Drosophila melanogaster: one gene and its partner. The protein of the gene in region 1 interacts with the protein of each later gene in a pairwise test. Each region holds a gene or a part of one and is shown in the gene's direction. Other genes may lie near its edges. The genes, in order: CG12171 and DNaseII.

Region 1 (3,796 bases):
GCAGTTGTCAGTTCTGCGAATGTCCAAGTATCTCATGAGTGTGTTCGAGAATAACGAAGCTATCGAGAGTTCCGAGGAAGAGAATGAATCTCTGGAAAATGTAGAGCTCGAGCAGATCTATCTGCAAGAGACCGATAGCACTATGCTATTTCCCAGGCCAATCTTTAAGACTCTGATGTTAACTGTGGTTACATCCAACGAGTCCATTTCTCCTGACCTCGCGTACAAAATTACCAATTTGGAAGATGAGCTGAAGGCTCACCTCAAGAAGATTTCTAGACGCGCTTTTGCACAACGAGGTGCAGGAGCTCTGAGGCGGAGAGCCAAGTACTTGATGGACCAGCAGCGTCAACTACAAAGTCGCCAACTGTCCGAGGTATGTCGCAATTCCGAGGAGCAGACTTTAAGGCTGTGGGATCGACTGACCAGCAGCAGTGACTCCTTGCGAGGGATCAGGGATCTCTTTCGCGATCATTGCGACCTGCGAGACCCATTGTTGTGCGCCGCACTCCAAAGCATCGAGCGTCTCTACAGGGAGTGGAAGGATCAGCGGTTTAGCGTGAATTGGAAACAAAATTGATTTAATTTTCCTTTTTTTTTAATGGCTTCATTTTTCGTTCCTTTTGAAATTCGATCTTACCAGCTATTTTAATTACATTAAGGGCTAGCCTAATTAAATTGTGTACATACATAGTTATTTGCGTGGGGTAGAGTGGAAAAGGTTTGGTTGATTGAACACAGCACTCCAAAATTCAAAAACTATTTTCCACCGACACATTTTGAAAATTCCAACCGCTAGAGAGAGAGCTTTTCGATAAGCTTTTCCGCCACAGCTGATGTGGAAAAGCTATCACTTGCCAGCTGGAACTGCGCTTCTTCTTAGATGTCTGTCTATCGTTTCCAGTGATCGAACTTCGCTTAGCGTAAAAGAAACACCCCACGATGTCATCCTTCAAGGACAAAGTGATTATTGTTACCGGCGCCAGCTCCGGCATCGGAGCAAGTGCCGCCGTCCATTTGGCGAAACTCGGAGGGCTCCTGGTCATCGTGGGTCGCAACGAGGAGAAGCTGAAGGAGACGGCCGACAACATTGTGGCGGCCGGAGGAGCAACGCCATTGGAACTGCAGGCGGACATGACCAAGGAGGCGGAGGTGCAGCAGATTGTGGGCGCCACTCTGGCCAAGCACGGTCGCATCGATGTGCTCGTTAACAATGCGGGCATCCTGGAGACAGGCTCCATCGAAGCCACCAGCCTGGAGCAATTCGATCGTCTGATGAACACCAATGTGCGTTCCCTGTACCAACTAACCATGCTGGCCACTCCAGAGCTAGTCAAGACCAAGGGCAATATCGTAAACGTATCCAGTGTCTGTGGACTGCGTGCCTTTCCTGGTGTCCTGGCCTACAATGTGTCTAAGGCAGCGGTGGACCAGTTCACGGCCTGCATAGCCCTGGAACTGGCCCCCAAAGGAGTCCGCGTAAACGCCGTGAATCCCGGCGTGATTGTGACTGACATTCACAAGCGTGGCGGCATGGACGAGGAGACCTATGCCAAGTTCCTCGAACACTGCAAGATAACCCACGCCTTGGGCCGTCCTGGCGATGTCAAGGAGGTGGCTGCCGCCATTGCCTTCCTGGCCAGCGATCAGGCCAGCTTCACCACGGGAATCAGTCTGCCCGTCGATGGAGGTCGTCACGCCATGTGCCCGCGATAGGATGCGGATGAGCAAATGGTGGCATTTATCGAATTTAGCGTCATTTTCAGTAGTTAATTTAAAGAACACGACTAAAATACAACACAATACATTAAAAGTGCGCAGTTAAGATTTCTTGGATTTTTCCTCTCATAATAAACTAATATATTGATAAAATATCTATAATCTATTATTATCTTCTTCTGGGATCCCAAATAGCTGATTATATTGTCAAAAACTCTCACAACCTCTCTGTCTAAAGAGGTGACCACTTAAAATTAAAAACTGATCATACATACATTCAACTATTTATTAATATACATACATACATACATATGTATATGCATAGTAGTTGGATAAAATAACAAATTAACAGTTAATTAAATTTAATTGAATTTCACAACCACTGGAAATGTGTAGCTTGGAAGGTTCCAGCCTATCGATAGCGTAATCGGATTGCAGCCCGGGAATTGTTGACTTCTGGGTCGGGTCTTCAATGTCACCAATCACTATCAGTTAAACCGTCGAGTGGATCACTTCAACATGCCCAGTTTCAAGGATAAAGTTATAATCGTGACCGGAGCCAGTTCGGGAATTGGAGCGGGTACTTCGGTGCTCTTGGCTAAACTGGGAGGCCTGCTCACCATCGTGGGCAGGAATTTGGATAAGCTCAACGAGACCGCGGAGCAGATAGTGGCAGCTGGAGGAGCGCCAGCACTCCAGGTGGCGGCGGACATAAACAGCGAGTCCGACGTCCAGGGCATCGTCTCCGCCACATTGGCCAAGCACGGTCGCATCGACGTGCTGGTGAACAACGCCGGAATCTTGGAGCTAGGCAGCATCGAGAACACCAGTCTGGAGCAGTTTGACCGCGTTATGAACACCAACGTCCGGTCGCTCTACCAGCTGACCCACCTGGTCACACCGGAGCTAATCAAGACCAAGGGCAACATTGTAAACGTGTCTAGTGTGAACGGCATCCGTTCCTTTCCCGGAGTCTTAGCATACAATGTTTCCAAGGCTGCCGTGGATCAGTTCACCAGGTGCGTGGCTCTGGAGCTAGCTCCCAAGGGTGTGCGTGTGAACTCCGTGAATCCCGGCGTAATCATCACCGAGCTGCAGCGTCGTGGTGGACTGGACCAGGAAGCCTACGTCAAGTTCCTCGAGCACGCCAAGGTCACCCATGCCCTGGGTCGACCCGGCGAAGTCAAGGAGGTGGCTGCGGCCATTGCATTCCTGGCCAGCGACGAGGCCAGCTTCAGCACCGGTATCAGCCTGCCCGTGGACGGCGGTCGCCATGCCATGTGCCCCAGATAAGAACGGAGTTTTTTATCCATGCATGCATTTATCTTATTTTTTTATTTTTAATTAAAGTAGCGCGCTTACCTCGTGTATTTCAAATACTTTTCAAGGATGTGATTCTATGTAAATGTAATAGTTTGCTAGAAATAAATAAAATGAAAACCGCCCTATAAAAATTGGCAACGTACGCAAGATTTAATTTGATACTTAAAATTTTCAAGTTCGTAGTAATGGACTTAATCGGCGGAAAACAAGGGAAAATTAAAGACATTCGTCTGGACAGGATCAGATGATCATATAGAATATCCTAGCAGAGACTAGCGCGGACACATGACCTGCTTGCCACCGTCCACAGGAAGGGTCACGCCGGTCACGAAGCTGGCCAGCTCGCTGGCCAGGAAGCAAATGGCGGCCGCCACCTCCTTTGGCTCCCCAATCCGGCCCAGGGCGTGGGTCTTCTTCGAGTGCTCCAGAAATTCGGCGTAGCTCTGCTCGTCCATGCCCCCCGCCTTTTGCAGATTGGTGCGAATCACACCCGGATTGACCGCATTCACCCGAACACCCTGGGGACCCAGATCCAGGGCAAGGGAGCGGGTAAACTGGTCCACCGCCGCCTTGGACATGTTGTAGGCCACCAGATTGGGAAAAGCGCGAAGTCCGCAGACGCTGGACACGTTGACAATGCTGCCCTTACACTGCAGCAACTGGGGCAGCAGCAACTTGGTCAGATAAAACCCAGAACGCACATTGGCCTCCATCACGTGGGTGAAGCAGGCCAGTTCCGTGCTCTGCAGCGTTC
Region 2 (4,574 bases), about 12 Mb from region 1:
TTCTAAGTAATTTATATGTATATGTATGGTATACCTCTATGATAAACCCTTATATAAATATACTTATATCATTTGTGTAGCCTTAACTTAGAACTTTTCAATTGACGGTATTAATTACGCATAATAAAACTTTATATTTTGTTCGTTAAACAAACCCATTATTGTTTCACTCAGTTCCAAATCTCACACAACCAAGCGATAAACCTTTGAAGAAACGAATTTTGAATTAGTGACAATTTTTGCAAGAAAATTAAAACCAACTATACAATTACATATATTAATACCACATATATGCATCGCTCTCCCCATTTCAAGTTTTGAGTCATTTGCGGGAGAGTCAACTAGAATGGCATTGTACTCAACCTGGTAGGTCTGAGAAAATCGCTGTATATTTGTAATACTTAAATACTATGCATATCTATATCTTATACAGACAGACATATGTATAGTATCTTTAGAGGGTTAAGTAGGAAAGGTAACTGATATTGAATATTGAAAATATCAAGGCAGAGAAAGGTATCGAAATACCGGCAGATAAATGAAGATAACACAAGTCAAAACATATCAAACTCGTGCCCGATTAAAACTATATATACACATATATATACACTATATATATATATATATATATATATATATATTAATGAAAAGCAGGCGCAAATTAGGCGCAGCAAATTTCAAAAATAACAAAGAAGGAGAATGATAAAATTATTAAATATGCCGAAAGTCTAACGGGAAATGCAATTTTATTTGCATAACTCAACAGTTGAGTCTACTTTTATCCGTAAATAATACGAAAATAATGATTAATATTAATTGAGATATTAAAAGTAAAAAAAAAAAAATACAAGAAATGGCAAGTATTTGTCTATTTTGAGGCTCATTTATTTAACATTTTCGCGAAACCAAGTACGACCTTCTTTTTTCAAATCGAATAAAGATCTTTGCTAATATTGTAAAAAACAAATTGATTTTTCAAGCAAATGAAAACCAAAACGTATAGCTAAATATTATTATAAAACTTACATAAAACAGAAACAAAACTCGTATATATATATATATAAATATAAATATCAGCCTTGTTCTTTATATATATATTTGAAAAACCAAAAAAATGAAAAACCATACAAAATATTAATAAATTATTAACAACTATGAAAAAATTGATACAAAAAAAAAAAATACATAAAAAATATTTAGCGAAAATATTGTATTGTGAGTTTAAATGTATTGTTGCATACGAAACCAAAGAAATGACATAACAAATCGGTACACCTAAGTTAAATATAAATCTAAATGGCAATACCAACCGATTGGCAAAACAAAAAGAAAAAAAAACATAATATCATCTGATAATATCATATCAGATCGGATCAAAGCAGATCAGAGGAAATTCGAAACAGAATGAAAGGTGAACCATTTTTTCACAGACAGCCACCAGCGATAAGAACTAACGAAGTTGAATTCAATTAATTTACCAGACAGTTTATTTCCAATATAATTCAATATTAGCAGATGGGCTCGCCCGCCCGCAAGACAAATTATACAATTTGATAACGATAATATTTTCATGCGATCACGATCGAGGAGGAAAGCACAAACGATATGCCCTGCAATGCAAACGGGGAAAAGAGCAACAAATTGCAGTTTTCAGCAGGCGACAAATTATAATAATACAATACGAATAATAAATAAAAACTTTAACAATTGTTTTGTGTAATTGTAAAGAAGTGGAGTTCTTTTCACCGCCAGTGGGATGAATGGGATGTTTATGTGATGATGGTGAAATGGGTAAGTATTTATAATATGTTACAGATTGGACAAGATTCTTAGTAGTTTCTTATAATATCCATAAAAATGAAGTCAAACATATTTAGTAGAGTATAATATATTCGTTGTAGCCGCATTTAGTGCGCTTGGCTTATCAGCGACCTCTCTGTTCGACTGATCTTTTGCAATAAGTGGCTGACCCCTCAGATAGCAGACAACGTGGCGATAGGCTGTGTTAAAAACCCAAACACGACCAAATATTTACAAATCCAACTTTTAGATAAAACAGACAAACAGCAAGGATCTCAGTTTTCACTCGATTCAAGCGTTTTTACCTGGTGAAGAAATCGAAAAAGATTAAGATGGATTTCAATTTGCGACTGAGACACCCTGTATGAGCACAGCCGTTGATTGGATTGGATTCACTGACACTTATTTAGTTGTTTTCCGGCCGAGCAACTTGAAGGTTGTACAATGCGATCTCTGTGCTTCGTTTTGCTGTTCGTTTGGTTTTTCTACCAAAACGAAGCTAAGTCTAAGGTTTCCTGTAAGGATGAAGCTGGAAACGATGTAGATTGGTAAGTATTTCGATTAACAGATCAAACAATAAATAGTTTAGTTCTTAAAACATTACTAAATGTGCTTATTAGAAAAGTTACTTATAAATATTGGCCTTTCACATACTTTTTCATTTATCTGCAGTCGCTGTTTGCATATCATTAACAATTTGCAAACACAACGTATTTTAGTTATTTATATACACTGCTGTATTGAGATTATTCTAAAAGAGGCGATAAACAAATTGAATATGATGAGTTCAAGTTCAAGCGGAAAAATTGATAATAATTGTACAATACTGTGTGACAAGAAATTAAAAAGTAATTAGTGTGTTATTTTGTTTCCTAAAATGAGAGATTTAAATCAAAGTTGTTTGCTACAAACAAACTTAATCAATTTGATAACAATAACATCATTTTTAATACTTTTCCATTTCCAAAAATAGATTAAATGGTAATTATTTTTTTTTTTTAATATCTTAAAAACAAATTTCCAAAGATTGAGGGGTTTTCTCGATGAGATAAACATGTTTTTAATTTATTTAATAATTTTTTTTCAAATATTCCTTTATAATTTTAGGTGGCACCTTTACAAACTGCCCAAGCACTACCAGCACAACGATTTGGGCAAGGACACCAGTGGCTTGAAGTACCTGTACGTGACCAGCCAGAACTATGACACCTGGCAGATGTCGGGAAAGTTCATTAGTGATCCCCTATCGCTGCCTGCCCAGACCCTTAACCCCTTGAACGACGATCCCAGCCACACTCTGCTGGCCGCCTACAACGATCAACAGCCGAATGGCACGGTTTTCAGCAGCGGTGGTCATGCCAAAGGAGTGGTGGCCAGTGATGGGGAGACGGCTATTTGGATTGTCCACTCGGTGCCCAAATTTCCAACAATTCCGGACTACAGCTATCCCACATCCGGCGAGCAGTACGCACAGAGCATGCTCTGCGTCACACTGAAGGGCGAGGATTTGGAGAAGGTTGGTCAGATTCTGGTGTACAATGAACCGCACTTCTACTATCAACGCAACCCGCTGGCCACTCGCTCCGATGAGCTGTTCCCGAGCCTGGAAAGGGCTCTGCATGGTCAGTGGCGGACGGAATCACCGTTCCAGAAGGACTTGGAGGTGCGCAGCTTGGACGGCAAGAAGTTCCGGCTGTTTGGCAAGAGTGGACGCGCCAATGTGGAGCTGTACGCCGATGTGGTCGCACCCACTCTGGATGTCAGTCTTTTTGTGGAGGCGTGGCGCGACGGTGCCGGCAACTTACCGAATAGCTGCGATAAGTCCGATAAGGTTCTCAATGTGGAATCCATTTCCAATCCGGAGCTATCGGTGGACTTTAAGACCACACAAGATCACTCCAAGTGGGCGGTATCTCGTCCCACAGGCATTTTGATCTACCATTGGCGAGTTGGCGGCGGAGATTGGATTTGTGTGGGCGACATCAACCGGCAAGAAGGTCAGTTGCATCGTGGTGGTGGAACCGTGTGCCACAAGAGCGCCAGGGTATCCAATCTGTACCGCCAACTGGTCACCAACTACGACAAGTGCGCCCAACAGGAATAGAATCTGAACTAACTAAGACTATTTGTAAAGTTGCGTCAACAATTAAATAAACACCATTTTTGCATTACATTTAATGCATAAGAAAATTGAAAGATGTTGAAAAGAGGTATTATTTATACAAAGAACTTATTTGCATTTGTTATAGATAATATATAATAATTTAAATTTTAAATTTAAGGCGCCGTGCAACTTCTTTTCTTTTTCTTTCTGCTCTTTTCCGGACACTCGCTAGCGCCATTTCTTCAACGCACTCTTGTCGTACATTTTAGGTACTAAAAAGCGCATTGAAAACTAGGTGGCGCTCGTACTTAAACTTTTCTTAATTCTATAGCTGTTGCTAAACTATTTGCCAAAAAAAAAAAACATTGAAATATCAACAAACATGTATAAATTATTTACAAATGTGTCAATTGCATTTGGTTGCATCTAATTATTCATTTATAGCGCCACCTATCCGTCACTCTTCTACCCATTATTATCACATATACCAGAAAATGCAAATTCAGTATGACCATCAGCTGGAAAAAGAGCACAGCTGTTTACAAAAACAAAACCAAGCGAAGAAGCGAAAATTATTGGCGATTTTTAAAAATCCAAATTAAAACTAGATTCGGAGTCGGAAAACCTTCATAGATTTGGGAATGTTCTGCTGCCTACGCACCTGTCTCAA

Evidence for each region.
Region 2: the proteins of CG12171 (region 1) and DNaseII interact in a two-hybrid assay, tested with the Drosophila melanogaster proteins (one large-scale study listed by BioGRID).

What each region holds. Positions count from the first base shown.
Region 1 is NT_033777.3:5,631,454-5,635,249, forward strand, and holds CG12171 (uncharacterized protein), read left to right. Parts: upstream 1-2,173; 5' UTR 2,174-2,238; coding exon 2,239-3,012; 3' UTR 3,013-3,187; downstream 3,188-3,796. Other genes in the region: CG31551 (uncharacterized protein), read left to right, coding at 1-580; CG31549 (uncharacterized protein), read left to right, coding at 943-1,716; CG31546 (uncharacterized protein), read right to left, coding at 3,315-3,796.
Region 2 is NT_033777.3:18,017,169-18,021,742, forward strand, and holds DNaseII (deoxyribonuclease II), read left to right. Parts: upstream 1-2,206; 5' UTR 2,207-2,244; coding exon 2,245-2,348; intron 2,349-2,907; coding exon 2,908-3,904; 3' UTR 3,905-3,993; downstream 3,994-4,574. Other genes in the region: CG7785 (uncharacterized protein), read left to right, coding at 4,546-4,574.